Linked DNA regions of Alligator mississippiensis. The protein of the gene in region 2 interacts with the protein of the main gene of each other region in a pairwise test. Links are inferred from orthologs where the notes say so. Each region holds a gene or a part of one and is shown on either strand. Other genes may lie near its edges. The genes, in order: HIVEP1, BHLHE40, RHOBTB3 and SMYD1.

The links.
Region 1: the proteins of BHLHE40 (region 2) and HIVEP1 interact in a two-hybrid assay, tested with the Homo sapiens proteins (2 studies listed by BioGRID and IntAct). The link is inferred for Alligator mississippiensis from reciprocal best matches to the Homo sapiens genes BHLHE40 and HIVEP1.
Region 3: the proteins of BHLHE40 (region 2) and RHOBTB3 interact in binary tests that used the Homo sapiens proteins (3 or more experiments, as listed by UniProt). The two-hybrid records come from large-scale screens. The link is inferred for Alligator mississippiensis from reciprocal best matches to the Homo sapiens genes BHLHE40 and RHOBTB3.
Region 4: the proteins of BHLHE40 (region 2) and SMYD1 interact in binary tests that used the Homo sapiens proteins (3 or more experiments, as listed by UniProt). The link is inferred for Alligator mississippiensis from reciprocal best matches to the Homo sapiens genes BHLHE40 and SMYD1.

Annotation. Positions count from the first base shown.
Region 1 is NC_081826.1:132,223,342-132,230,178, forward strand, and holds the start of HIVEP1 (zinc finger protein 40), read right to left. Parts: upstream 3,014-6,837; 5' UTR 2,727-3,013; intron 1,789-2,726; exon of another isoform or gene 1,572-1,788; intron 1-1,571.
Region 2 is NC_081835.1:11,999,752-12,007,620, reverse strand, and holds the start of BHLHE40 (class E basic helix-loop-helix protein 40), read right to left. Parts: upstream 3,001-7,869; 5' UTR 2,779-3,000; coding exon 2,699-2,778; intron 2,564-2,698; coding exon 2,494-2,563; intron 2,086-2,493; coding exon 1,978-2,085; intron 991-1,977; coding exon 867-990; intron 1-866. UniProt on the Homo sapiens protein: Transcriptional repressor involved in the regulation of the circadian rhythm by negatively regulating the activity of the clock genes and clock-controlled genes.
Region 3 is NC_081826.1:239,081,136-239,088,753, forward strand, and holds the start of RHOBTB3 (rho-related BTB domain-containing protein 3), read right to left. Parts: upstream 3,022-7,618; 5' UTR 2,696-3,021; coding exon 2,694-2,695; intron 2,544-2,693; coding exon 2,318-2,543; intron 1-2,317. UniProt on the Homo sapiens protein: Rab9-regulated ATPase required for endosome to Golgi transport. Involved in transport vesicle docking at the Golgi complex, possibly by participating in release M6PRBP1/TIP47 from vesicles to permit their efficient docking and fusion at the Golgi.
Region 4 is NC_081825.1:14,314,508-14,321,604, reverse strand, and holds the start of SMYD1 (histone-lysine N-methyltransferase SMYD1), read left to right. Parts: upstream 1-4,092; 5' UTR 4,093-4,163; coding exon 4,164-4,300; intron 4,301-7,097. UniProt on the Homo sapiens protein: Methylates histone H3 at 'Lys-4' (H3K4me), seems able to perform both mono-, di-, and trimethylation. Acts as a transcriptional repressor. Essential for cardiomyocyte differentiation and cardiac morphogenesis.

The DNA.
Region 1 (6,837 bases), on a different chromosome or scaffold from region 2:
AGCAAGCATATGCAGGCAGGTGGAATCTTTATCATTCAAGGTATTACAAATAATGCATTTGATTTCCAATTGATTTTTTTAAGGACATCATCAATTTGCATTACTGCAAATCAATAAACCAGTTTACAAGAGTTTGTTGCCTACAAGTTGCTGTGCATTTACAATGCCAGGTTGCCATTCCTTTTAAAAGGTTTCTCATGCTTGTCTTTGTGTGAAGGAAAGAACTGGCTATAGAAACAAAAGCTGGATTGTACCGTCCCTTTTCCTAAGAGTCATGATAATAAAGTACCAGATAAAAACAACTACATCCAGTAGTGTGATGATTTTTTTGGGGGGGGGGGGGGAGGGAAGGGGATTACACTTCAAAAAGCTAAGTGACATGGAATGCAATATCAGTGGCCAAAAACGTCAACCTTCAGTAAGGGGTGTTGGTGCCTGAAAACTTGCAAAGAACTTTTTTCCAACTACTTTGTTGGTCTCATAAAAGATATTGCATTTACTTTTTTTCGGGGGGGGGGGGGGGATATCTTTTATTAGACCAACTGTATAGCTGGGCCCAACAACCATGCATGGAAGTGCACTTAGCCTTGGAAAGCTCCTCTAACTTTATTCCGCATATACAGTTAGTCCAATAAAAGGTATCACCTCCCTGCTAAATAGGTTCAAGGCAGGCCAAGGCCTCTGTGCAGCCAACCCTCACCGCTGGGGCCTCAGCGCTGAACCGCCCTGTGCTTGTGGAGAGATACAAACAATGCCACCCTTCCCTAGGAGCATCCCCTCTACAGACTAAGAGATGGATTAATAGCTTTGAAACCAGTTAAGGAGGAGGCTATTACTTGGCTTTACAGATCTGCATTTGCTAAATAAATAAATAAATAACCCCACCCCCCCCCCAAATATCTAGCCGGTGGCAGGACCCTCTACTATCCCAGTGTGAGGCACCCCTGCAAGGAGCCCGACTTCTTCTAAGCACGAAGCCTCCCTTTGGCCCCCTGTTAAGCTGCTGCCCAAGGTGGCTTCAAAACCCAAAGGCTTCATCTGCCACTTCTGTCACCGCCCCCATGGGAGCACCTCCATTGCACAAAAAACAAACAACGAATGTTGAAACGCCCTCTTCAAACAGAGGCCGGGATCCCTCGGGCAGGGGGCACCTCTCAGGGCCCGGGGACGCCCCGCGGCTCCTCCCGCCAGGCGGTCGAGACCCGCTCCCGGGGGCCCGTCCCACCGCCTCCTGCCCCGCCCACGCCGCGGCCCGGCGGCGGCGGCTGCCCCAGGGGCGTGAGGGGCCGGGGGAGCGTGAAAGGGCTCCTTCCCCACGAGGGCTCCAGGCCAGGGGGTTGCTGTGCTCGGCCGAGGGGAGCGGAGCGGAGCGGAGCGGAGTAGAGCTGCGAAGGGAAAAGCAGCCGCGAACGGGGCCCGGGAGGAGGAGCCGGGAAAACCCCTCCGCAGCGCCGCGCCGAACAAAGCGCCGCGCCCCCGGCGGCGGCCGCCCCTCCCCCACCCCCGGGGGGCGGCCCCGGCAGCGCGGGGGGAGGGGGAGAGGGGGCGACTGCCCCCCGCCCGCTGCAAACCTGCTGCGGTTGATGGCGGCAGCCGGGAACCGCGGCGACCCCGACCCCTGCGCGGCGGCACCTCCTCCCCGCCCCGGCAGCGCCGAGCGCTACCATGACCCGGCCCGGGCTGCCCCGGCCCCGCCCCCGCCATGCCGGGGGGAGGGGCGGGGAGGACACGTCTGTGCGCAGGGAACTACCCCCGCGGAGGGGCGGGGCCGCGGGGACCCCCCGCACGGAGCGGCCGTTGGGGGGGAACGCGGCAGTTCCGAGGGGGGCGGGGCGGGGGGGTTTACCTTCTCTCACTTTCTATTGCAGGAAGCGGGCCGGGGCAGTGACGTCATCGGGGCTCCCGGCACCGCCCCCTTCCCTTGCCTGGCGGGGCGGGGGCACAGGGTCACCGCGGGGGGAGGGGTCACCGAGGGGGTTCCCTCGCGGGCGGGAGCGCGCAGCCTTGCTCCGAGCAGGCATTTAAACCAAAAACAAAATCAAATAAAATAAACTAAAATTTTAAAGTCCCCTCTCTCTCCCCCTCCTCCCCCAAGAGCCGCCGCCGCCTCCTGCCCCTCCCCCCAGCTCGGGGGGGGGTCCTGTCAGTGCAGGTGTCCAAGTCACGTCAGCCCCCGGCCCTGCCCCCGAGCCGGGCTGGGACCCGTGTGAGGGGCGGGGGAGCCCCCGGGAAGCAGCAGCTGGAGCCCCCGAGCCGGCGCTGCTCCCCCGCCCCCCCGGGCCTGAAGGCAGAGACAAAGGGCAAAAAACAAGTGCGGCGGAGCCGGGCCGAGCGCGCAGCGAGAAGTCCCCGCGCTGCGCTCTGCCCCCGGCGGCTGGCAGCCAGGGGCGCCGGGCCCGCCGGCTGCGCCTCGCGCTCCCCCCTGCAGCGGCCCGTCTCCTTGCACACACACGCACACAGACACACACACACGCACTGCCATGCGTGCACAGCGCCGGGGCTGCTGCCGCTGCTGCTGCTGCTGACGCGGAGATCCCGGAGGTTCCTGCGCGCTGCCGCTGGCAGGTCACACGCGCCGCGTCCTCCTTCCCCTGCTCTCGCGCTGGGTTTTCCCGGCCGCTCCCAGCCGCGCTCCGTCCCCTCCTCCGCGCACCGCGGGGGGCCACACCGGCCCCCCTCCCCCGCCGGCCAAAAAAAATACACGAAGATCAAAAGCAGCAGCTCACCCCGCGCGGCGCCAACTCCTTTCCCAGCTTTAACTTTTCATCTCCGGGCGACGGGCGCCGAAAGCAAAACCCCTCCACTCTTGGAAGTGGGCGTGAGAGGAAATACGAGGAGGAGGCGCCTAATGCTCTCCGCGGCTGCTCCCCTTTTTTGGCCCTTGCCTGCTGCTGCTGCTGATGCTGCTGCTGCTGGGGTTTTGCTGCTTCTCCGCTGTGCCGCGGTGATTGGTTTCCGACATCAGCTGTTTCGCTCTGTTTTGCGTGCGGGTCATCGTGAATGGGGAAGCGGGTGGCAAGGGATCCCTGCTTCCTCTTCTCGCACACGCCTTTGCCTCGGCTTTGTTTTGTTTTGTTAAGAAGCAAGGCACGTCTTTTTTTACTGCTACGTAGGGTCCCCTCCCAGCTGGATCTTTGCAGCTTGGGTTACCCTTCAGGCTGCATCTGAATGCACACACACGTGCCCTTGTGCCTTTGCTGGTTTGGGGGTAGTGTGCTAAGAACGCAGGCAGCACCGTCCCCAGGCCCCTGGCAGCCCCGGGGTGAACTTTTAGTATCGGGGCCACCTTCACCAAAGATAATGATAAGAATAAATCAGACAACGGGGAAGCAAATTACCATGTTCAGGCCCTCTTTCTGTCCGGGCCCTGGGCAGCTGCCCGGTTTGTCCATGCCTGTATCTGGGTCTGGACCTAAGTAGACAAGGTTCTTTGGGGAGCCCCAGGTACAGGGGGGCTGGACCCAGTGATCCAGCCCCTAGCACCTATGAAACTATGTGATCTCTTCTATTAGACCAATGAAGCAATTAGAAAAATTGTTCTTTGCAAGCTTTCAGGTAGATGTGATCTCTTCTATTAGACCAACTAAATAGTTGGGAAAATTGCTCTTTGCAAGCTTTCTGGTACAAATGCCCTTCTTCAGGTGCCCCTCCCTCTGCCTGAAAAAGGGTGCTTGTGCCCAATAGCTTGCAAAGAAAAGTTTTCCAACTATTCAGTTGGTCGAACAAAAGATATCACATTTACCCAAAAAACCTTGTCTGTTTATGTCTTTACACAACAAACCCACTTGAAAGATCTCTAATGATGTCTTGCTTGGGTTCAGTGTTTCCTTGGGCAGGGTGCAAATTAAGGGGGAGCTCAGGGAGGCTGAGCCCTCCCCCCCCCCCCCCATATGGGATAAGAGCTCCCTACAAGATTTGAAAATCATAACATGGGGGGGAGGGTCTCCAATCAGATTGCTCCTTCACTTAGGTGGAATGTTAATCAATGAACCCGTTTACATTTTTTTTTTTTGCAGACCCCCGAACAAAAGTCAAAGTTTAATTCGAACCCTGCCCTTGGGCTCCAATCTGTGTGTACCCCTTGCACATCTTTAAAAGGCAGATGTGCTATTGAACAATAACAAAAATAACTTTAAAAAAATGTTCCTTCTTAGCCCTGACAATATGTTGCTTAACCAAATCTCAATTTCACAAGCACATATGATATGAAGTTCTGCGTGTTTACAAGATTATGATTTTGGCACTTTTATGTACAGACAAAATGATTTTTTCCAATTGGTGCCAGCTGGAATGAGTGGAGCTTAACAATGCATTTGCCTGTGGTGAATAAAAAACTGTTCTGATGACTGCAGGGCCTAAGTCATCGCTATTTTGAAGAACTTCCGCTTTTGTAAAAGCAAAACATTATTGAATACCCTTATAATAAATTTCAAGTATGAACCAATACAGTGATATACTTCCGAGTCTGCAGACAGCTCTAGTGTCTCTGTCCTGCTCCTAGCTTATATAAACAGCAGAGTAAAGCACAAGGCTGTTTCATTACTGCTACTCCAAGCCTAGTTTCACATTGCTAAGGCACATTGATGAGCGTGTGTCACAGTCACGCCTCAGCTTCACATTATTGGTGAAGCTATCTGTATCACATGCAGTAGAAGCAACAGAACTTGTCACAAGGGAAGGAGAAAAAAAAAAAGATACTCAACTTCTTATAATCTAGCTCCATTTTCTGCCTGGAGGTCAGGGTGGTATTTGGAATTTTATCATATACCTATATTAAAAGACTAATTACAAGTGGCAAACAGTGTCCTGGTGCAACACACTGATGAGACTCAAAGACATTTCCCATCAGATAGAAGCGAAGTGAGATTTTTTGCAGGGATTTGCCTCTAGACCTTGCTGGTAAGGTCCCTTCTCATCTTTCGTATCCATTATTGGCTAGATTTAGTTCTTTGGAACAGGGGCAGCCAACCTGTGGTACGCACACCACAAACGGAATGAGTAGCCTCTGTGCCGCACATGTCAGATCAGCAAGGGGACAGCCAGCACAGCGGTAGATAGGCCAGGGACCAAAGAGGAGAACAGCGGATCGGGCAGGGAGCACTGGACAGGAAGCAGAAAGCAGCCTAGCTGATCAAGTAGGGGAAAGGGGATCAGTACGGTACTCGTGGAGGGCTAATTCATGGCACACTTGCCAAAATGGTTGACCCTCACAGCTCTAGAATACAGGGGGCTAGTGTGGCACAGCTGACAGAACTGGAAGGACTGGATGTCAGATTTATTTTTCTGTCTGTTATTGCCTGCCTGTGTGGTCTTCGCCAAGGCGCTACCTCTTTCTGTCTCAGTTGCTACTAGTAAAATCAAACCAATATATACAATCACCTGGTAAAGCATTTTGAGATGCAAGGAATGGTGCTCTATATGGTTATTATTAGCAGGTGTCTAAGTACTCTCCCAACCCTGAGAAGGAAGGATATTAAAAAAAAAAAGCAGTGACATTTAAAAATTTTTATTCACTGAAATGCACACTGCAGCCTCTTTCATCACAAAATTAAGATATTTTAAAAACTACATCTAATATTAATCCCATCTAAGAGAATCTCCTTTCAGATGAACCTATGTGAGAGTGGTGGACAGACTTCTAAAACACAAATCTCTTGAATGTTTGCAGTACTTTCCAAAGGGACTCCAGTTTCAGGATTATCTACAAACACACACTAAATTTATGCTTTCAAATAGATATTTTTGCATAGCGGTGCACATTTAAAGCTGTTCTTCCTTCTGCCAAACAGGTAGATATATAAAATAGGAGTAGGAAAAATCAGAACACAGGAGGGGGTCTTTAAATCATTCAGTATTTACCACACTGTAGTAAAACTCACTATACGATATTTGACTTTACCACAGCTCTTAGATACCAAGATCATAAAGCATAGTGGTAAAATTGGGCACTGTGGTTAATCTGGGCAGCAAATACAGATTTTTTTTATATTGTCCACCGCACCATGACCTGGAGCTGAGAAAAGCTTAGACTGATTATTAGAGCTGGTTGGAAGTTTTGAGGGAAATTCTGAAGTTCTGAAAAAATAATAATTTCAGAACCAGGGTACAAAGTTCTAAATGCAAGAAAGAAATACTGTAAATATTTTGTACTGATATAATGAAAACATTTTCAACAAAATGATGTCTGGGAGCCCAGGATCTGAGGCTCCTGGCTCAGCTGTAGCTCCCAGGTTTCCAGATTCTTACTCTGCATCAGAGATCCTGGAAGCCTGGAGATCCCTCAGTTGACAAGGACCTTGGAAGCCCTGAAGCCACTGCAGGGCTGCTAGGCTGGCTTCATAACAGGAAGCAAAAGGCTGGGTGGGGCGGAGGGGCAGGGGGGGTAGGGCTTTACAATGCTTGCCCTGGGGTAGTCTCCCAGGTGACTGATGTGCAGCTGCAGATCCTGGAAAACCCAGGTCCCAACTTGGAGGCAGCCTGTCTGGCCAGCTGCCAAAGATCAGGGAAACAAGCTGGCAAGAAACCAGGTAGGTTTCTGATAAAAACCTGCCTGTGTTCCATAGGAAATTGGCGGGTTCCCAGGAAATGATTTCAGTTCAATGAAGTGGCATTTTCGGATGGTAAAAAACATCCCACTGAAAAAAGTTCCGACCAGTTCTGTTCAGTATTTCTCTCAAAGAACTCAGTCACGCAGAGATCCGCTGATGGCCATTCCTGCTACGAAATGGGGTCATTGGAAGAATGGTATCTGGACAGACTGGGAAGAGAGTATGGTGTAATTTACTGATATTTCATTATACCCTAACTCAGGAAATGATTAACTGGACCTTTCCTCAG
Region 2 (7,869 bases):
TACGGTCAAGCTGAATACCCATTTTTACCATATCCATCTAAGAATGAGTCTTCACATACAAGTTTCACTTTTCAACTCATTATATGTGGCAATCAGATGCTAGTTTGAGAAGAACAGCAAAAAAGACTCATCAGGAAAACACCTATTCCACAGCCATCGGAAAAAAAAAAAAGTGCAAGAGTTCAAACTTTCCCCCTCAGTTCCAGACCCCAGGGAGGACTGGGCTTAAACTTTGACAAGTGACGCCAGCTCTGGCTGTGTAACTCTACTGCACACCCCGTGGCTGTGGAAAGAGTAGCAGCCTTCTTAGAAAAGCTGATTTTATCCTACCAGATGCAACCAAATGCCGGAAAAGAAGGAGGTACGAAACAGATTTAGAACATCATTAAGCCCTTTAGACTGGTTCCCCCTCAAGCTGCGAAGGGTAGGCAAACTGATTACTGGAGAGACCAAAAAAGTGTGGGTTAAACAGATGCTTTCGTCTGTTTGAGAAAAAAAATAAATAAAAAATGTAAAAGCTCATCAAATCAATGGAAAGATTCTGGCCAGTGTATCTTTGGATTAGGCCGCCCAGTAAAAATGTACTTCCAAATGAAATATTTTAATATTCAGTTGAACTGAAAAATGAAAAAAAAATCATGGCCAAGTATAAATGAACCAAATAGGGCATCTTTTCTGCATGTGGGCACACATACATGCTGCAGGGAGAAGGGTGCAGGAGTAACTAAAGGAGTGGGGGAATGTGCTTACATGTCCCTTCTCCAAAACCTAGTCTCGTAAGTCACCCATATTTCAAAGGAGCTGAAAGCGAGTTTGCTCTGCACACTAGGACTCTCACGTGATACAAGCATGACTTGAATACTCACCAGCTTGTAAACCACTCTGTAATGCAATTATTTTCTGCTGCTGCTGCTCTATGAGATTGGTCAGCGCTTTCACGTGTTTCAAGGTAAGTTCAAGAACCACTGCCTTCTCCAAGTGACCTAAAGTCTGGAAACAAAAGGACACATAAGTACAGTTCTGATGAAATGAAAGAGAGTTACTGCCATGGGAGAGAGCTAACAGTGTCCTTACTCTGCAAAATCTTTTATCCTGAATAATAAGTGGCTCTGACTCCACAGTTTATGTAAGCCATAAAAAAAAAAACAAGGTGGTGCTGGCTGCAGAGAAAGCTGTAGTTATGTCTTATGAGTATTTTGGGACCAACTACATAGCTTGGAGGAAAGTATCTTATTTATCTGTTCTGCTACTCCTGCCGGTATCGTGACCTTAACACCAGGGACTCCAATCAAGGGTTCTTTTGAACAGCGACAGGAGAGGGGAAACCTGCAAAGTAGCAACCAAAATAGCTTTCCCCAATAAAGTTCTGCGATAAAAATATACTTAAAAAACCCCCAGCCCCTTAACACTCATATTTTGAAAACCAGAAGTCCCGAATGCTACAGCAGGAGAGGTTGCTACCTTGAATATCTACTCCACTATGTGAATGTAGCAAATCATTTAAAACTTGGCAGTAGGTAGCATTGAAACAAAATCTAAAAGGACCGGACTGTGGGATAAATTAGGGATCGTCTAGTAACTGGCATCTGGTCCTACTTTGCAAAGAGCAGCATGAAGCATTTCCAAGATCCAAAAGGAAATGCCCAAACCTTTGCCGAACGATGTTAAAATTCAAGCGTGCATTAATGACCTTTACAAGAGGCCCGATTTTACCATAGCAGCAGCTCAGGTCTTATCTTTCTCCCTCCCTACTGCATTACAGGCATTGGTATAGAAATTCACTGCCTTTGCAAGGAAATCTAATGCTAAAGGAAGATCAAAGTGGCAACTCCAGCCAAATCTCAGCCTTTCCCAGCCTATGCTGCAGTGCTCAAAGGAAGCCTCTAGATGGCACGTTTACTTGCACAGAAATCCAGGAGACCCGCACGCACCCCAAAAAGGAAGAGGAGCTTGGCCAGTAGCCAGATTTTCACTTACTGTAAGTTTGAGATGTTCTGGTAAGAGATCTTTCAGTTGGGCGATGCACTCGTTAATCCTATCCCGCCTTTTCTTTTCTATCAGCCTGTGGGGCAGCTTGTAGGTCTCCTGCAAACCAACAGCGGGGAGAGAAAGGTGGCTAAGTCAGTCAGCCCAGATCCCAAATGAGTCCCTAGCACCATGGAGAGACACAGCGATCAGAAATGATCTAGAAACTAAAACGCGACCTCCCGGCGATGTCACCAGGGAGCTCGACTGGCTTCATCCCTTGCAGAAGCATCGCTCAACTCCTGCAAAACTCGGTTGCCCTCCTTCCCCCGCTGCAGGAGACGCGGGTTACGCCAAGCGCAACCGTCCCACCTCCAAGAAACCTGGAGGCAGGGCAAGGCAAGCTGTCCGGGCTTCTCTCCCACCCTTGTGCGCGCGCTAGCAAAAGGGCACCCCCGGCCGCCCCAAATCCGGGCGGCCAGCGCCAGCTCTCTAGTGGATGGCGCGGGCGAGGCGGGCTCCTCTTACCTTGCTGTCCTCGCTCCTTTTCAAGCCTCGCCGGGGCTTGTAGACCTGGTACATGTGGGCGAAGTCCAGCCTGCGCACAGGGGGAGAACAAAGCGGCGTTAATTTTAATCGAAGTTCAAGCCCCGTCCCTGCTGCAGCCCCCTCCGCCCCGGGGTCAGGTTCAAGCCCGTGCCCGGCTGGGGGCATCCGCAGGGCCGGGGCTTACCCGGGCATGTCGGGGCTGTCCAGGGCGGGCAGCTTGCCCAGGCACACGGGCGGGGGCTGGGCGCTGGGGATCCTCTCCATGGCCGGGCGAGGAGGGCTGGTGCTGCGGCGCGGCGCGGCGCGGCGGGGCCGGGGCTGGCGGTGGCTGGGGCCGGTGCAGCGGGCGGCTCGACTCAGCGCGGGCCGGGCATGCCGCTCCGCCGCGGTCGGCAGCGACTGAGCGAGCGAGTGAGGAGTCCGGGGGAGGCGGCAGGCTGGGTTAAATGGGAGCGGGTGGGTGGATGGAGCGACGTGTTCTACCCTGTGACTCCGGGCACGTCTGGCGGCGGCGGCGGCGGGCGGGGGGAGGAGGAGGAGGGAGGGAGGGTTGCCGTCACATGAGCCTCACGTGGCGGACACCGCTCTGCTCCGCTCAGCTCCCCCCGCCCGCCCGCCCGAGCCGCCGGCGGCTGCGGCCGGAACGTGCGGGGGAGCGCCCTGCGGCCGGCACCGCCCCGCCCGCCCGCCTGCCTGCTGCAGCCTCGGTGTGCCCACGCGGCTGCCGCCCGTGCGCCCCTACGTGCCCCCCCACACTTAGTGCTCCTAGTGCACCCTCCGCGTGCTTCCAGTGCACCCTTAGTGCCCCCGCTGCCACCTCAGTGAGCCCCCAGTGCAACCCCAGTGCATGCTTAGTGCCACCTCAGTGCCCCACTGTCTCAGTGTCCCCAGGGCACCCCAGTGTGCTTCCAGTACACCCCTAGTGCCCCCCACTGCCACTTCAGTGAGCACCCAGTGCAACTCCAGTGCACTCTTAGTGCCCCTGGTGCAACCCCCCACACTTAGTGTTCCCAGTGCACCCTCAGTGTGCCTCCAGTGCACCCTTAGTGCCCAGTGCCATCTCAGTGAGCCCCCAGTGCACCCTAAGTGTGCTTCCAGTGCATCCTTAGTGCCCCCAGTGCCCTAAGTGCCTCTCAGTGAGTCCCCAGTGCACCCTCCATGCCTCCTCAGCGTCCCTCATTGCCCCCCATGTGCCCTAACTGCCTCTTCCATGCACTCACTCAGTGCACCCCCAGTTCCCCCTTAGCGTCCCCCCACTGCCCCCTCTGTGTCCCCGCAGCACGCCCAGCTTCCCCCTCACTGCCTCTCCAGTGTCCCCAGCTGCCCCTTCAGTGCCCAGGGCTCTGCCATCTGGGGACGAGTTCCCCTCCACCCCAGCCTGGGTCCTGGCCCATGAAAGAAGAGCCAGGCTGTGGGCGCAGCCAGAGCCAGCGCCCCCCCGGGTGTTTTTGGCTGGATGGGGAGAACCAGGGTAGGCTGCAGGGCTGCCCCACGAGGCTGGAGCAGGGCATCCAGCGCCAGGGCTGTCGTGCGGAGGGCACGGGACACTCCCGTGGGAAAGCGCTGGGATCTTACATAAGGCAGAGGTGTGGCCGGCTTAGTGGTCTGAGCCGAGCCCAGCAAACCCGGCCCTCCCTCCTCTGACACGGGCGCCTTTGACCTTGGCCAGGTCCCTTCGGGGCTGTGCCCCAGCTCTCCCATCTGCTTGGCAGAGCCGGTAATACTAACTCACCTCCCTCGGAGGGGTGTTGTTCAGATTAATTAGTTGACGTCTGTAAGAGCACTTTGAAGCGGCTAAGCGCCGGGTATTATTCTGAGCAGAGCGGGCAGGGCTCCAAGTCTGTGGAGCACAGCAGAGGCAGAGCACGCTGGCTGCACCTGACTGCAATGTGTTGAGCTTATTATCCGTGTTTAATGGAGTAAGGCAGGGCGGGGGAAAGGCATTCATAAAACACAGTGCCAAAAAATGACTCTTCTGAGCACTTTCAATTGAAAAATTGCCACAAGCGGCAGGGAAATAAGTGAGAGAGGGCCCCAAAGTCACCCTAGGCAAATGCTTTACCACCCACTGAAAGAGACTTGCCACCCCAGCTGAGCTATTACATAATCGTGGCAGCTCTCCAGAGGGAACAGACGCAGAACATGCTACATCTGTTTTCAATGTATTTAGCTATTATAAAAAATGTCTATACTTTGTAGTAATCCAGTGGCTAACAGCTTGATAAAACGCAGCTCCAGATCCAACACATTGCGTCATCCTTAGTGATTTCCACATGCCGTTGTGCGGCTGGCCCGGGAATATCCCAGCCCAAATGTCAAGGCGTGGGAATGGCACTGAGAGCAGAGAAGCATTTGGTGGTTCGAACAAGGCAACATGCAAGACGTGCGAGATGAGGGGAGTGCAGCTGAGCCAAAAGGGACAGAAATCAGGGCGAGGGGTTGGTTTCGCTGATACCACTGCGAGGTCAAAGGCTGATTGAGTACAGCTTCACTGGCAACGTGAGCAGGACACTGAGGGCCCCAGAAATCCTCATGCAAAAAAGGAAGGCGAGGCATAGTGCTCACAAAGGAAGCTGGGTTGCCCTGGCATCCATTTCTCTGACTCATTTACTGAAGGTGGAAGCAGGACCAAATGTGTATCAATTTATGGTAAGCCCTTATGGTGGTAGGAGCTCGTATCCTGGGTTCTGACAGGGGGTTAGGACTTCTAGATTTTGGTCCCACTGCTGCCAGGGGTTGCCATGGGACTTTCTGTAAATCACTTAAGCTTTCATGTCACAATTCTCTGCTTAGCTAGGGTCCTTTTATGCTGTTTGGGTACACATATGGGCCTTAAATTGGGTATGGATGCCTTTGAGGACATCTGTTTTCCACTCAGAGCCCATTGTAGCAGTGGATGGGAGTATGGCTAAAGTCCATTACTCTACAGGCAGAGCCATGGGAAGCAAAGTGGAAGCGAGGCCACAGAACTGAGGTTGCTGTAGCTCAGGACTCATCTACACTATATATATATATATATATATATATATATATATATATATCAGCCTTCCTATGCTGGTGAAGCCTGTGATATTTACCTGTATGCCCATACCATTATATGGTATGGGCATACGGGTAAATATCCTGAATATGGAGACCATATTCCAGCATGGTTTATTTCCCTTCACTGAACTGCAATAAACATCTGTATGCAAGAAAACTGTGGCTTCACTACTATGTTGTGGGGGGGAAAGAGGGGCCAGAAATGGTACTGCTTTAACCACACAGGAACAGCAAATTTGGCAAAACCTTTAAGTATACACGAGGTCTTAAGTGGAGAGCCAGGAAGACCCCTGAAAAGCATCCAAACTCCACAAGTCCAGGAACAAAATAGGCAAGAGCAGGGCCAGCCATGAAAGCATTGCAAGTAAGTAGCAGGACTTACCTATCTTAGTGGGGTTTGGGAAGGTTTAACTCTTTGATCTCTTTGATTCTCAGATGCCAGCTATTATGCAAATGCTAACAGTGCTTATGGTGGTGTAGCTGCCAAAGCAACCTATTGATTTGGAGGGCTGGGATCATTTTCCTTGCTGCACGTGGCACAAGTAGAGGCAAGCTCACAAGACACAAGGTATATTTATCCAGATAAGGTGCTAACAAAACTTGGCACGGAAAGTTTGTCAAAGGTTTCCCTATCTCATCCTGTGGCTCCTGGGACCGTCAGGAGCATGAGGTCAACAACTGCTTTGCTGGTGAACAGAGATAATGTTTTATGCTAGTATAGGTGGCATGTTCGTTTCAAAGTACACCATCATTGGATGAGTGTGTGGTTGCATGAGAAGCCTTAAGAGAGTTTAGTACTGTTGACCTGTGACTTCAGAGGGTGATTCAGTTGACTCTACTCTTGCTAGGCCCCAGAGGTCAGTTTTCTAGAAACCGTAGTTACAAGACCCCTGCGGTATCCACTGCTTAAACAATGAGCCCGTGGTGGTAGTGACTGAGAGCATCAAAACAAAACTATGCTGTGGGGATCTGGTCTCATCTGTGTTTCATAGCTCCAGCCTGAAACTGTATGACCCAGCCTAGCATTCATTGCCATGGCCAGCCACTCATTTCAAACATCTTCAGGTCTTGGCCCTTAAGACATGATGTGGCAGACACTTATATGTTTAAGTGCCAAGGTAGTTGCGTTGACTTGAAAGGAGTTACTCATGTGCTGAGAATTAAGCATGTAGGGCCAGGACCTTCAATTGTAAGCTCTTCAGAGCAGAGATTGTCTTTATTAATGTTTCCCAGGGTGGCACTTAAATACATTTGGTAATAACTGTCACAAAAGTGAGGTTGACTCATTGGCTGTTAATTACTACAACTGCGATAAATATGTAAAGCAAACTGCATAAATAATGAAAAGTAAAACTCTTTGTTTTAAAGATCTAAGCTGCTTGTTGTGACACTGAGGAGGAAATGAGAAATGAGTTTAACCTACTAGTCTTGTTTCACCATCTAAAATGTTTCTTTATCAAAGCATAGGAATAATTAAGGTTCATAGCAGCAGGCTTCTTATGGCAAGGTCCAACTTTTAGGGTCAGGGTTTGCTATTTTTTCTTCGTTCTGAGTTTTATGTTTAAAGTCAAAATAGATGCGGGCCAATGCATGCACGTGGGCTGTTTGACTTTTGCCTGCTCTGAGAGATATTTAGTGCATTCCTGCAATGGGTGGTGAGCTACAAAGCAGGGTCAGAAGTAATCCCCCATGATTTAGCCCTTTTACCGGGCGTACGCTTGCCAAACAATACTCTGTATCAGGATTTACTGATGACCTTAAGGGTGGTTGGCAAAGATCCCCCTAAAAAGAGGGCCCCTCATGAAGTTATTACATTCTTGGGCATCAAGTTCGATTGAGGGAGAATTGAATTACACTCTTCTGTCGAGCTACTGCTTCTGCTTCCATAAACTAAGGCTGATGAGGTTATCAATTTGCTGCCACAGTTTTGTTTGCAGAGCTCCCTCTCCATGGCAGGTTCTTTTATGACACCTCATAGGGACTAAAGCAAAATGGTAAAAGAACTGGCATTATTTTCCAGAGCCATTAAGGGAGAATCTGGCCTTTTGAATGGTAGTTTTAGAGCATTTGAGTATCATAGGATAGCAACAGCTCGTGTCCAATGGGGATTTGTAGTTATTTACAGATACATTAGCAAGGAAGGGCTTGGATGTTGTTTTCCAAGGTGTGCAAGGGCTGGCTAAAGGAACTGAGTGCATGGAGCTTTCTCCTCCAGAGCAGTTTCCCTCATAATTACGAAAATGGGAATTTTGGGATGCAAAGTTCCTAAAATCATTGGCACTTGTGTCTGATTAGAGAATATGTGGGCAGTAC
Region 3 (7,618 bases), on a different chromosome or scaffold from region 2:
TTAGGTGAAATTTAGGCGATGATCTAGATTTAGGTTCAGATCAACCCCATTCTACTGTCTACAATTCAATCAACTGCCTAGAGATTCAATCTGCATCTTCATTCTGGTCTGAAAAGATACCTCTACACCTAGACAGAAGTATCCATGCACTTTCAGAAAAAATTCACATCAGCAATCCTGCCCAAAGAGACAGCTTCAACAGGAAGAGCACTCACTCTGATTAGAGAATTGTATTGCGGCTTGCCTAGTGGTTACAGCACTCTCCTGGGAAGTGGAAACTGTGGGTTCCAGCCCCCTCAAAATGAGGAAGCTCTGCACCCTCCCATTTCCAACTAACAATCTATTATGCAGAAAGCAGCCACCAGCACTACCACTGACACTGGCTGTGTTTGAGAGCAACCCTAATGTCCTGCATCTTGTACTGAACAGTCAGTATGCATTAGGTGTTTGTTCAGGAAGGCACCTTACTTCTGGACCCTGAGTTTATGGAAGTGCCTAAGACTTTTTGTGCAGCCCTGAGTCATGCATCTGAGCCCGAGACAAGCAGGAGTTTTCACATTCCTATTTCCAGCATTTCCTATTAACTAATTCTTGATATCTCCCTGCTTAGCATACTGGCTACCTGGTTTAACTCCTGCATCTAATTTCCTAGGGGGTATCTAGATGCCTAAGCCTGTTAGTTTGGCTCACCTTACTGGGGCAAGGTATGTAATTCTCAGGTGTTGCAGTACCTAAATTGAGGTGCTTATAAGAACAATTTGGATCTGTCCCAAATCACCTGTGACAAGCAGGAGCACCTCTATAATTTCCATAGGCCTATTCCCACAGAAGAGGCATAGTCATCAAATATAAGTCTAAGTAACAGTCCAAAGAGCAAGCTAAAGAAGCCAAAACAGTCTCTTCCACAGCAAGCACCAGCCTTTTGTAGAGAGAACCCAATTATACAACTACCCACTCCAAGTAAGCAAAAAAATACCCACTATATTAAAAACTCTTTATCTGCTCCAGCTGGGAAAGCTTGGAGATAGAAGAGTATAGCACTTCAGGAAACATGGAGGAGGTGTCAAAACAATATAAGCTGCTGCTACTGATATTTAGTTTCTGCAAACCTACAGCCTCCAGAATTGAAAATTTTGCTCTCTCTTCAGCAGCTCAGAAGTTCAAATACTGATAAAGGTCAATCAAACATTTGAAATTTGTGAACACTCTCCAGGACCACACAACCTTGCCCTACCTTTACCAATCCTCCTTCCAGTTTCTTCTATTGATATCCTCCAGTCTCATTATACATCCATTCTCCAACCTTTATTCATATTGAATGGCATTTACGGTGAGGTGTGGTTCCACAGACCAACACATGCAAATACTATGCAAGGTGAAACTTTCAAAACTGGGCCCTCAATTCTAGTTGACCGGGTCATCACACACACAGAGCACAATGGCTACCACTGGAGAACAAGGCATCTGATCGCTGAGTTCTTCCACTCAGAATTTCTACAGAGAAATTTTGTGTGTGCAAGGATTTCAAGACGAGGCTCTAAGTAATATTATGAAACTGAATTTAAGTATATCTGACTAAACAACAATCCTAAAGAACAGTGCTCTGAAATAATCACAAACATTAAATCTGGTGAGAACCCATCAGTTCTCCATTAAACTCACAAGGTCAGTAACAAGTCAATTTTTGCTCAGGATTCAATAAATTTACTTCCAAACAGAAGTGCTGAATTAATGGAACAGTATCAAAAACTGTTTCTCTCTCTTTTTCTGGCTCAGGAATTGCTTTTCAGCATTTGATAATTCAACACATTTAAACAGGAACCAACAAAAAAAAAAAAAAAAAGAATTCATACACCATAACTCCAAATTGCCCCATTACAAAATGTCTCAGTAATTTTCAAAGCTGGACTATTTCTGGGAAACAGATTCCCTCTCCAAGTGTTTCCCTACAGCAGTAAAGCAAAGCATATATGAAAACATTTTGATAACTCAGAGAGAGAGTTTGGTTTTCAAGCCACACAAAAGGTTTCTTGTTTTCTTTTGGATTCTTTTCAATGCAGTTTTTACCAAACAAGCGAGTTGAAAATATTGCCTCCTCATATAGGTCAGTAGGCAGTGGCTTTGCTAAGGGGCTTTTCATCTTGTTGGTTATGGGAGAATATCCTTGGGTGATTATGTGTTTAAAATTGTAAATCCACTTCTAATGGTTTATTGTTTCCAATTGTGAAATTGGCAGACTCAATAAAAACCGCATTGAATTAGGAGCAGCTCCATTTTTTTTTAAATTAAGCTTATAAGTTTCACCCTAGATTCTTACCCAAAGGGGACAGTCATGTACCACCAGCCTGACATTTCCAAACACGCGGGCTTGATACTCAGTGAAAACAGGATTTCCAACGTGACTGGCAGAGTTCAGCAACAAACTGCTTTCAGTCTCTGAAATGAGAGCGCTTCTCCCCAGATAGGTCCAAATCAGACTGGGCTGCTGATTTTCCTCTGAAAAGGCCTCCCTTTCATTGCCAAAGGCTACAATGTGAACGGACCTAAAACAATAAGGAGAAAGTGAGAAACATCTACTGTTAGCAAAGGAGGGAAGAAAAAAAAAGATCCTTTCAAATCAGAACAAGGCTACTAAACGCTTCTCCAGCCTCTTCTTTCAGCCGTTCCTAAAAACCCAGCCATCAACCACATACATGATGTCAAATCCGAGAGCAAGAGGAGAGGAAGGGGGGAAAGAGTCCTGCCGGCATCATAGAGCCCCAACTCCTCTGGCTTTTTATTCCTCCATTTCCACAGGCAGCTTCACGGATGTCACCTCAAGCAGTCGTGCCGCGGGGTGCAGTGCCTCCCGGGGGCCTTCAGTGCTCCGGCCCCTGCAAGTCAGTGTGTGTAACCGCACGTGACAGCGACAGCAGCAGCGCGAGCCCCTGCTCCCGGATCATCTGCTACTGCTGGAGGGGACTGCAGCACCAAGCGCGGCAGCCGCGGGCTCAGCCATTGCCTCCTCCTGACGTCAATAAACCCTACCTAAGAGCGTAATACACGCAATGAGGAGCCTGCACATTTCTGCAGCGCCGACACCGCGCAGCCGGGGCAGCAGAAAGACAAAGGCGCTCCGGCCAAGGCAGCAGCTGACTGCGCTGAGGGAGGCTGCCCAGTGCACTGCTGCTGCTGTGCAGAACGGGGAAAAAAAGCTACATAAATACATGAGCTCACTGCCAGCCAATCTGCGGCCAGGCAGCCCTGCTGAACTGGCTAGAGAGGACCTCAGCAACGGAGGGGGCACAAAGGCGGCGTTGCCGGGTGGGCGGTAATTATCCCCTCTGAATGGTTGTTCCAGCCCTTGTACAATGCACGATCAGTAATAGTATACATGCTCCAAGTGGACGATCGGGGTTTTTTTGAGGCAGGACTCGTGGTAGAGGTGATAATCTTCTATTAGACCAGCTAGATTTTTGGGGGGAAAAAAAACTGCAAAAAACATTTGCAAAAATCTAGTTGGTCTAATAAAACATACCACCTCTACTATGAGGCCGGGTTCCTTGTTGCCTCTAGACCAATACAGCTACAACCTGGCTACCCAATAATTTTCGGAGCAGGTAACTGATATGGCCTATGTACAACACAAGGCACTCTGGGAGTCTTTCAGGTTTGCTGGGGTTTTTCATTATTTATTTAAATTTTCCATATTCCAAGCCAAATTAGCCAAAACAAATTCCAAATCTGAGGGCCAGTCCAGAACCGTAAGTGGCCCTACTACTGGCAAACATCCTCCACCCCCATCTGGGGCTTCTGATGTTCCCAAAACCTTAGGCGGGCATCCTATGTGCAGGCCCAAGCCCAGCAGCTTGGGGTTCGGATGCCCCCAAGTTCTGCTTCCCCCAGCCATTCGGCCCCAAGGAGCAAGCTAGGGAGGGTTTGCTGTCTGTACTTTTTATGACTGCTTCCCTTGAAATACAGAAATGCTTCAACTTGGATGACCCAGTTCTCACTCACTCACTGGAGATACAGTGAGCAATAGAAAGTAAATAAGACTTATTTGCAGACTTGTTTCCTTTTTTTTCAGTGTACAACAGTTTTTCAGCAAAGATAGTAATTTAGAGTTTCCAATATGATAATTTCATATTTAAGACCTGGCACTGCTGGAGAAAGGCAGTCCAGATGAGAAGAGCCTTCACAGGAGACCAGTTGCAGCCTTTTGCTTGTGTAACAGCTTGTTTTTCGACTCCAGGCTGATTGCACTTAGATATCCTCTAGAGCAGTGTTTCTCAACCTTTTTGTACCAGGACCCATTTGTAATCATCCTGACCCAGTGCCCCTCACTCCTGACACGCTGCACCCAGGCCCCCAGTGTGTGGGACAGGGGGGGCCCCCATGTAGCCTGGAACTCAGCCAGCCTGCAGGGGAAAAGCCAGTTTCCCAAGTTTTTCTCCTTTTTAAAGGAGAATCCATTTTTTAAAGTTTGTTGATCCATTTTTTAGGTTTGTTTGTGACCCCTCCGTGTATTCTTGCGACCCACGGTTTGAGAAATGGTACTCTAAAGCAGAGTATTTTTTCTGTAATCTGAAATCAAGTAAAAGAAAAGAGATGACTTTTTCTGAGAAGTACCTTAAATCTGTCACAACCCAAGGGTGTGATTTTGTGTGCATGCGCTTCGGCACTGCTAAATTATTTCCCGCCACAAGGAGCTTTTTTTGCAGGGTGCATTTCTCAGTTGCAAAGAGAAATGCACGGTGCAAAGGAGTTCCCGCCACCCGCATGCAAATTTGTGTCCCACTATTGGCCAGTTCTAAATTATTCCCACGTGGCGGCTAGCAATTGGCTTGCTAGCTGTATAAGAGGCTTGAGCGGTTTCCGCCCAAGTTGGAGGACTCCACAACTATCAGGAGGAGAACTTCACATCTAGTGAAGATCTCTAAGCACTGCGGAGCCTATCGGACCCAGCACGTACCTTGAGAAGGCTATAGGGGTCTGATCAACCTCTGGCCTCTCCCTGTCGCCGAACGATCCCTTGACGAACCCCTTCCCTGCGCGCAAGTTCCACGGAGCCTAGCAAACTTCGTGTGAGTGTATCCAGAGCTCTTTCTCCGAGTTGTTTTCTTCGGTTGACACTGATGGGCTCGCGTGTTTAGAGCCTTCAACCGGATTGGGCTAGAGGTTCGCGTGGAAGGAACTCTTGTCCTCTTCTCTTCTTTTCTGTCTGTAACTGCAACTCAAGCAAGTTTTCCTGCCTGCACCGCGACCATCTACGGTGTAAGTAAAATAATCTTTAATCAACCGCTACATGTCCGTGCCTAATTCTAGCCCGCCGGCCTGCATTCCCCGACCCGCGTGCCAGGGCTGCTGGCCACAGCCCGCTGCGCGCCCCCGAGAGCCTCGGACTGCTCCTGGCCTGCACAGAATCTAAAAAGGTTGAGACCCACTGGTATGAATTAATTAACAAGGAACTCTAGGGATGAGTAACTCTGAAACTACCTCAGTTGTATGAAAAGACCAGAACACAGAAGGGTTACTGGGCCTGAGACTGATATATCTTGTAAATTAAACAGACCCCCAAGACGGGTGTGTAGTGACAGAAGTTATAATTTAGACAGGCTCCAAAACAGGAGACTGAGGGAGTTGGAAAATGGGAGATGGTCTCTCAGGGTGCAGACAGACATTAAACAGGCCCCAATCTATCTCATGGCACTTTATATAAAGCACCATGAGTCAGAGCACCCCCCAGCCCAACGACGTTTGCCTGTTGGATCAGGAGAGGGGTGCTGGAGCCAGCCTGGCACTGGCCCAGGCTCAAGCAGCCTTCCAGGAGGCTGCCAAACCACCCTTCTCCCCAGCCTTGGCCCCTCCCCCAGGGCTGTCAACAAGAGAGCTTCCAGCTGCTGAATGGCAGGGAACTGGTCCCCCTTGCTTCTGCTTCTTGGCCCCCACAGCTATCCTAACTGGGGTACTGGGGGGAGCCGGGTCAGGCCCACAAAGCAAGGGGGCCCTATTGCTCCACACTCCTCCCGTGGCTCTGGCCATTTGGCAGCTGGTTGCTCTGTGCTGGCTGCTGGATGGCTAGAGCTGAGGGAGGAGATGGAGCCCCCTTCCCTGGAGGGCCTGGCCCCAGCCATGAGGCAGGGTTGCCCTGTTCCCCATTCCCTCCCCCCAGCTCTGGCCATTCAACAGCCAGCAGCTCCCTCTTCTCCCCCCTGATAGCCCAGGTGAGGGACTGAGCACCAGCCCAGCTCTGCCCCCCACATGAAAAATTAACCCTGGAGGGAACACAAATTCCCTCAGGCACTCTGTTTTTGAGCTCCTTAATGTAATACATGATTTAACCAGGGTTAATTTTTTGTGCAATCGACCATTTAAAAAGTGCTCTGCAGCCATGCATGTGTGTTAGTCACGGCTGTGGAGCACTTTCAAGGACCAGATCTTGAAATGACTTGAAAAATGTCATTTCTGTCTGCACTTTTCAGGTAGCAGCTAGTGAGCCAGTTGTTAGAGCCAGACAGGGGATCTGTAGAACTTGCTTAATAAAACTTGCTTTTTAGCTTTTCTCATTCATGTATGTCTGCATTTATTGAAGCTGGTGGTCACTACAAGGTAACAGAAGTGGCAAATGAGAAAGAACTTTAAAGAGTTGAGATTCAAACTGAAAAAAAGTTGAATACTGAAAATAAGTGAAGCAACGGAGCCACGTGAAAGGACAAGGGCCACCATAAGTGATCTACCCACAGGTTAAGTAAAAGGACAGCTAGTTATGGAAGTTTTGCAACATCCACCTGCTCTTCTGATATTGGGCAATATTAGCAGAGAACTAACTGGAGGACGTTCAGTACTACCTAGCAGCCACAGGGCCTGAAGAGAAAAGACACAGTGAATTCATCTATCTTGCATACTGTGGAGAAGGAAGACCTGGTAACACTTTTGCCTTCAAAAAAGATATGAAATTAAGTAAAATCCTGTCCAAAATTGTGGAATATTGCATGCCAAAAAAGAATGAGATGCTGGAAACACAGATGTTTAATGTGCAAATAAACCACAGGAGAAAGGATAGACCAGCATGTTACTGATCTAAAAAGCCTGAGTAAGAACTGTGCTTTTGGGAACTTGACAGAATCTCTTATTAGAGACAGGATTATTTGTAGCATCACAAACACTACATTATAAAAAAGGCTATTGTATTAGGGAGATTTGTCACTAGAAAAGACTATCCAAATGTGCAAGAGAGCAGAAACTGTGAGGGCCCAGGCTGCAGAGCTGTGTGCACCAAAAAGGGTCGTTCAGGCAGTAGGCCTCAAAAAATATAGCCAAAAAATGCCACCTCACAGGGAAAGGATTTTTCATTGGCAAGGATTATGCTAAGGGAGAGAGAGCATATAAGCAGACATATACTAAAAGTAGAAGGCAACGTTCCTGCAAACATTGTGCTGAATTTAGAAAGCTGTTTTAACTGTAACAAGAGGAACCACTTTGCCTGATGCAATCCCCAAACACACAGCCTCAAGTACGCAGTGGAGAATACACCGGAAGAATTTTATATAGACATGATGAATCAAGCAAAATCAATGAGAGGCTGTGGCCAGTGGAAGTAACGATGGTTTAATTTAAATTGGACACTGAGATCAGGTTA
Region 4 (7,097 bases), on a different chromosome or scaffold from region 2:
CCCGTGTACTCCTGCCCATGACTGGCCTGAGAGCTGCCTGCAAACTGCTCCCCTTTGGCAGTCCCTGTTCACTGGCTCCCTGGTCACAGGCTCTCTGGTCACCTGGGGGGTCTCCTTTTATACCCTTCTGGGCCTGGGCTCACTCAGGCCGAGGCAGCAATCACACAGTCAGCAATCCCACAGCAATCAACAGTCACTTAGCACTCAGCGCTCACTTCCAGCTTCTCAGAGCACACACCTGCCAAACAAACAGACAGCCAGCTAAACCAAAGGTACAGGCAGCTGGATCACTTACCTTTTCTGGGTAGGATCTAGTGCCTGGCCTGGCTTCTCTCCCCCTCCCTCCCTCCCTCCTCTTGCCTCCAACAACTGCCTGCAAACTGCTCCCCTGTTGGCAGTTGCTGTTTGCTGGCTCCCTCATCACAGCTGGTTTTTTAACATGTAATGTTAAAAGAAAAGGTATCAAACTGCAAGGAAGTTACTAATGGACTTCTTGAAGGATCAACCTCTGGAACAATCTTGTTTAACATTTTCATTAACAGCCTTGACACTGTAGCAGGTCCAGTGCTGGGGGAGCAAAATCACCTCTCTGGGTATCTGCCTAAACTTTACTTGCCCCCTCTGACCTCTCAGGGTCCCACCCTGTTATCTTTCCTTCCATACCTTTATGTTATGATTGGACAGGGAGGGTGCCCCTAAGGTAGGGGAGTTGTGAGTGTTAGGCCCTTGTTTGGGCTGAGGCCCCCTGGCCTGGGTCCACTTTACTCTGGCTGGGCCCCTCCACCTGAGGTCCACTGTCTCAGGACTGTAGGCTCCTGGGCCCCAGCTCCAGCCACACCCTTGTAGGCTCTGGGCCTTTTGGCCCCTGGTCTCACCCTTGTGGGCTCTGGGCCCCTCAGCCCCTGGTCTTGCCCTCATGGGCTAAGGCTTGCACCCCCAATCCTTCCACTAACAGCAGCACTAGACCCTTTGAAGGGTCTAGGACCTGGTGTGTCCTTGGCACCATTCTCGGTGGCCTCCTCCACCCCTATAGCCACAATCTGGTCTTCCAGTATTTAAACACAAATGAAAAGATATGAGCATTTGCTCTCAAACAAAAGGTTCCCCATCCTGGATTAACACCACACTGTGGGAAAACCACCATGCCGGGCCCCAAAATACTTATCTTTGGCTGCCAGGTGTTGCAGGGGCTTCCTGCAGCATCCCTGCAGCCTGAAGTCCTTCCTCCTTGTCCGGTCAGGCCCTAGTCCTCCCTGGAGCTCTGCTTCCTACAGCCTGTGGGGCCAGACTGCCCAACTTGCTTCAGGTCCTGGGCTTTTATCTCTCTCTCTGGGGTACTTGAGCCACTACTTCCACCCCAGGCTTGTCAGTCACTGGCTGCACCTGAGGCAGGCAGGCATTTTATTCAAGGGCCTTCTGCCACCATCAGTTTGTCCAGGAGGCTGGAGTTGGCCAGCTGATCCTCAGCTCCCTCTCTCCTTCAGTAATGGGGTAGGAGTCCCATTGCACACACAAAATTGAGGAGTATGCTGACGGCAAAAGGTTAAAAGTATCATTCATATAGAGGTATATCTCATATCAAATCAAAACATGAAGCACTGAACTGCTATTGACTCATCTGTTTCTAACTGGTGTCCACTCTTCAACTGATGCACTTGCATTCATAGGAGTTGAGCATGAATATCAAGACAGATGTGATCAGCTTCAGCTTCTTGACTGGAAGGGATTCTTGTCTTTTGCCATTGCAGGGCTACTTCTTCGCACTCATAAGTTGGTGTGGTAGGGCACCAAGAGACAAAAGATATTGTAACAAATCCAAAGCCTTGGACTGCAGTTTCCCCTCTTCTGCACAGCGTGACTGCTCAGATGTTTGGATGGCAGCAGTACAACTCAGATCCTCTGCTTCAAAATCACAGACCCCCCCCAGTAGTGTTTAGCAATAAAGGTAGGTGTCTGGTTGGCTGGATAGCAATCAGAGCACTATTACAGATCACATGTGTGCTATGATTAGCCTGAATTTGCTTATGTTTCTGGAAGTAACTAGTTCATGCTTATCAGGCTCAGAACAACCTCGGAGTAGGTATTTATATTACTATGTGATTCCTATCGTTACTTCAGCTATTTTCACTAAAGAAGAATCTCCATTAACTCTTGGCTGCATATAAAGTCTAAGATGCAGAGTTGAGCAGTTTGGAAACTGTCCAAAAGATAGCAGTGGCACTCACGTATGCATGTGTACACACACACACATACACACCCCCCAGCACAGACAGATCTAGGAGGGTGCAGTGGTGCAGTTGCATTATCTCCTCTTCCCTCTCTTCCTGTCCCCACTTTGATTCCTGCTCCACCCAACTTTTAAACCAACTGCCTGGGTGGAGTAGCAGCATTTCTATTCAGGCAGCACTGAAGGAGTCCATTGACTTCTTGGCCCATTATCATTTCCCTGATTCCTGCTACTCTCTCTCCACTCCACGGTGTGTCAATGACTCTCTCTTTTTTTTAATGGTCCTTAATATTAACTTAAGTGTAGACATGGCTGATAGTGAAGTACTGGGAGCACTACTCAGATGCTCAAGATTTTGTTTTATGAATCTGACTAAGAGACATACATTTAAGTAGAATGACTACAGGACTAATGGCACAATATCTTTTGACTTATTTTAACTATTTTTGCCTAATTTGTTGTGTTTTTTTAAAAAACTGTGTATATAATCTATCAAATTAGCACACACTCCAATAATTGTATTTGTTTTTGCTTTGATCTTAAACTAAATCTTATAGTGCTAGCCCCCTAGCATACTAATAAAGCATCTAGGTTCTCTTTACTTGGAGAAAGATATGTGTTCTTTGATGCACCACATGAAAATCCTAGATCCATTTGTGTACACCAGCCTATTACATACTGCTCAAGGTAGATGCCACTCATCCTCCAACTCAGGCAACTTTGGGTGGGCTGACAGGTATTAACCAATTCATCTCTCGATCCCTCAGTTTACCCATCTGTTATGCAGACATAGCCCTTACTTCTCTCACAGAGGGACAGAGAGTCTACATACGTTCATGTGCGCAAGGCACTCTGAATTCCCAGTGATAGATGTGGTAAAATTACTGGGACCTTAGACATACAAAGTATTAATAAATAATACTGAAATACCAAATACCAATGCTGACTGGTTTGTTTTCACAGCAAGACTCTTCTTTCTGTTAACATCAGCAGAAATCTGGAGGGATCCCAGTGACTTCAGTGGTGTTATTTTGGTTTTACACTGATGGGTGCGGGTGAAGGGTAGAAACAATGTCCTATTTTATAAATCATTTGAGCTTGCTGGGGATATTATCCTCTTTTTACCTGCTTTGGGTCCAGTCCATCCTTTGAATTCCATGGAGTTGCATCGGGGATAAACACAGCCCTCAAGCTTGCTAGCATTTCAATGAGTTTAGTCTGTTGAACTCCTGACAGACAGCTAATATGTCATGCCTGCTTCTAAAGAGGCGCCTTCCAGCTCATTCCCTGCACTTCTCCAAGTCACTCAGTTGGCATGTGGCAAGCATCTCTCTTTTGTGCCTGTTTTCTGCAGCAGCAGATGGGGTAATTTTAGCCTGCATGTTTGACAGACCTTCCTCACCCTTGCCTCCAGCATATCTCCTGGAGGGTAAAAATAAAGCAGCATTGTTTGATTTCTGGAAGAACCTAAATGACAGTGGAAAGAACCCCAGACACACAACCCACCCACCACTTACGGCTGTCTCAGCTGTTGGCTCCTGATAGACAGAAGCATGTGGTTTCTAAAAATACCCTGTTAAAGTGAATGCATTCTCTTTCCAATGGGAGAGAATAAATTAAACTTGGTGGTCATAACATATACAAAAGCTTTCAAATGGCAGAAACAATGCCAATGAGTTTTTCAGATGGGCTTTTCCTAATGAAGCTGATGGCACTGGTAATGCATGACCAATCATTTGGCTTCTGTGCTTAGCACTGCATTAAGCTAAAGGGTTTCTCCCCCTCCCCTCCCTTCACCCTCCTATGGAAAATGGGTGGGGGGAGGAGGCAACGTAGTCCATATATAGGACTGGTCCTGGGTCAGGCTGAAGGTGTTGAAATAGCAGGAGTGACAAGAGAGTTGGCTCACTCGCATTAGGAGCTGGGGTTCCCTGACATGACAAAAGGGGGAATGGAGACGGTGGAAGTGTTCACGTCGGAAGACAAAGGCAGGGGTTTGAAGGCAGTCAAAGAATTCCTGTCTGGGGAAGTCATATTTGCGGAGCCTGCTTATGCGGCGGTGGTTTTTGATAGGTAAGAGAAAAGTTATTGTAAAGTAAATGCCAAAGCCTGCTCCTTGCAAAAGTCTGATGTGGCTGCAGCTGGTGTTAACTTGATAGAGTCTGGATAGCATCAGTGAAGGCTGAGAATCTGAGTAGTAACACTTCCTCGTGAGTCATTTGCAGCTTGCCACAACGCTCCTCTCATTAGGACAGAGTGATCATCCCGCTTGTGTGCCTTAAATACACTGTGACCTGCTACATGGACCTGAGCTTACAAAGTGCTCTCAGCTTCCTTCATTGTAGTTGGAGCTGAATTAGTTCAATGGACTGCAATATGAGCGATGCAAGTGCTGTTACAACGAGTCCCTGAGTTCGCTGTAAAAGATCCCACAAGGTGCTGCATGGTAGAGATACAGTATGTCATTGTGCTTTAATTGTGCATATGCCCCCTTAATATATACACAGAGAGAGAGGGCACTAATGCTTAAAGTCAAGAGGTCCTTAACATATTCATGTTACTGGCAGTTTATCAAAACTTGATCTTGCCTAGGTCTCTTTAGTCAATCTTTCACTCGGTGCCTCTTTAAAGACATCACCTGCTTCAAGGCAAATGGTTCGAGACAGAGAACTTGGGAATGTTTTTGTTACTGCTAAAATGGTTTTATGCTCATGCCTGAATGAATGAAGGGAAGCTGCTGTATGACAGTTATCTTTGTAAGCAGATATTAGCTTTTTTGGCTTTTGTTTAAAGTAACCAGCAAGTGAATCCTCATGTAAATGCATGTTTAGTTATGTTATTTGTCTCAAGCTCTTTATTTTTCTATAAAAAATTGGTGGATCAATTTTCTTCACAGATGTAGGCTTTGAGTACCTAATTCCGCCCTTGAGGTCAGTGGGTTCTGCCCAAATAACCTAAAAGCTTCTACACAGCAGGCCATATTCATATTATGTTAATGTGGGAAATCCAGAATAACTTCATTGACCTCAGTGGAATTACTCTACATTTATACGTGAATAATTGAGCACAGAATGTGGCCCAAACATCATAAAGGAGCAACTAACCTTCATGTGCATTGCTTTCGTTCTGTACTTCATAACGGTCTAAACATTTCTCAAAGCACCTTGTAAATGAATCCTGGGGTTGAATTCTGCTGAAAACCTCCAGTGACTTTCGAATAATGTTCTGTATGTGAAATAAGGCAGGACGTTACTTACCTACTAAAGCTTTCTTTGAAAAACATTTCTTTTAAGGAGCTCTAGGGTGGTATCAGACATTCTTTAGTTTTAACTGTCACCATGTAGTGCTTTGCTCGATCGCCCACAATTCAGTGAGCTTGTTTACTAATGCTATGTCATCAGGCAATATCAGAGAATTAATGCTGAATGAAAAAAAGAAGAAAATAAATGTGTGGACTTAGTTACGCTTGTATCTTTTCACTCGTTTTTTCTCTGTCGCTGTAATATCAGTGGGGGTACAGGAGTAAGAACCTAGGATAGTGGTAACAGAGATGTGGTCTTTATTTGCATTTTAATACGTCATTGTAAGAACTGCTCTTGGAAAAGGTGACTGCCACCACCATATAACCTGGACTTGAGTTATGCCTGTGTACCACTTCAGTTAGTCATGCTATGTCAATCCCTGAAATAGATTCAATTGACTGATGGACAGCCAAATCCTGCTCAGAGTGGGCGAGATTCTAGTGCTCATCTTTATATTAGCACCAATGCTAATTTATTGTTGAAATCAATCAGAGTCTTTCCATTACCTTCAATAGGCTTTGCATTGGGCCTTCATTTGACCCGAGGTTGCATTGGAAGCATTGGTTGGGCCAGTGGAACAGGTACTAGTTAACATGAGTAGGGGATGGCAAAATTCAATCCAATCTGCTAACTTGACTTCCATGGAAGTAGGACCAGAACTGATGATTACTGATTTATTCTTAAGCATTGTCTATGATACTGGTAATTATTCCATCCAACCTGAACTAGGCTGAGTCCCAAGGAGCCTGATTATGAACTAGGACTTTTATGAGCAGTTGGTGAATTAAAATGACTCTTAAAGAACACCCAAGTCCAGGAGGAGACAGCAGTGGATTATACACAATGCTCGGACAAGTTCTGTAAAATAAAATGGTTTGATTCATTACTTTCTCTTTAAATGACACTCCACATTGCGGCTAGTGTGAAATAAGGCAACTCCTTCAGGGCCTCATCTACAGATAGCTCATACACCCTTCGTGGGAGCCAGTTATGCTCATGCTAGAGGTCTGGCTTTTCTTCACTTGGGCATTGTCTACATGTACAAATGATGCGGGATGGGTTTACTTCAAAGTACTGTGGAGTAAACCTACCCCAGGCAGGCGTCTACACATGCTGGGATGTGGGAGCAGATTTGCTGCTTGTGGCAGCAGCCTGCACCCACCCCCTCCAGCCCTGCACCAGCCCCCTGCAGCAGTCAGGGGGAGTTCTAGGCTCACCCTGGGTGCTAGCCCTGGAGCTAGTAGGGGGCATGGGGCCAGGAGACAGCTGTCTCCTGGTGGGGACTGGGAGATTGCTCCCTGCCCCCTAGAGCTACCTGCTGCGAGGATGGGCTCTGCCACGGGAGCCTGGGTGCGGACAATGTCCCTCTGCCCTGGCTGCAGGGAGCTCCTGGCCCCGGCTCTCTAACTGGGGGCAGGGGGCTTGGAAAGAGCTGCAGAGAATCCACGCCCAGCCAGGGGCTCACTGCTATCTGTCCCACCAGCGGATCAGAGCAGAGGTCTAGGACCTGCCCCCCCAGCTTTTTCTAAGCCCTGCACCTCAATCACTCATTCAGGGCACGGGGCTGG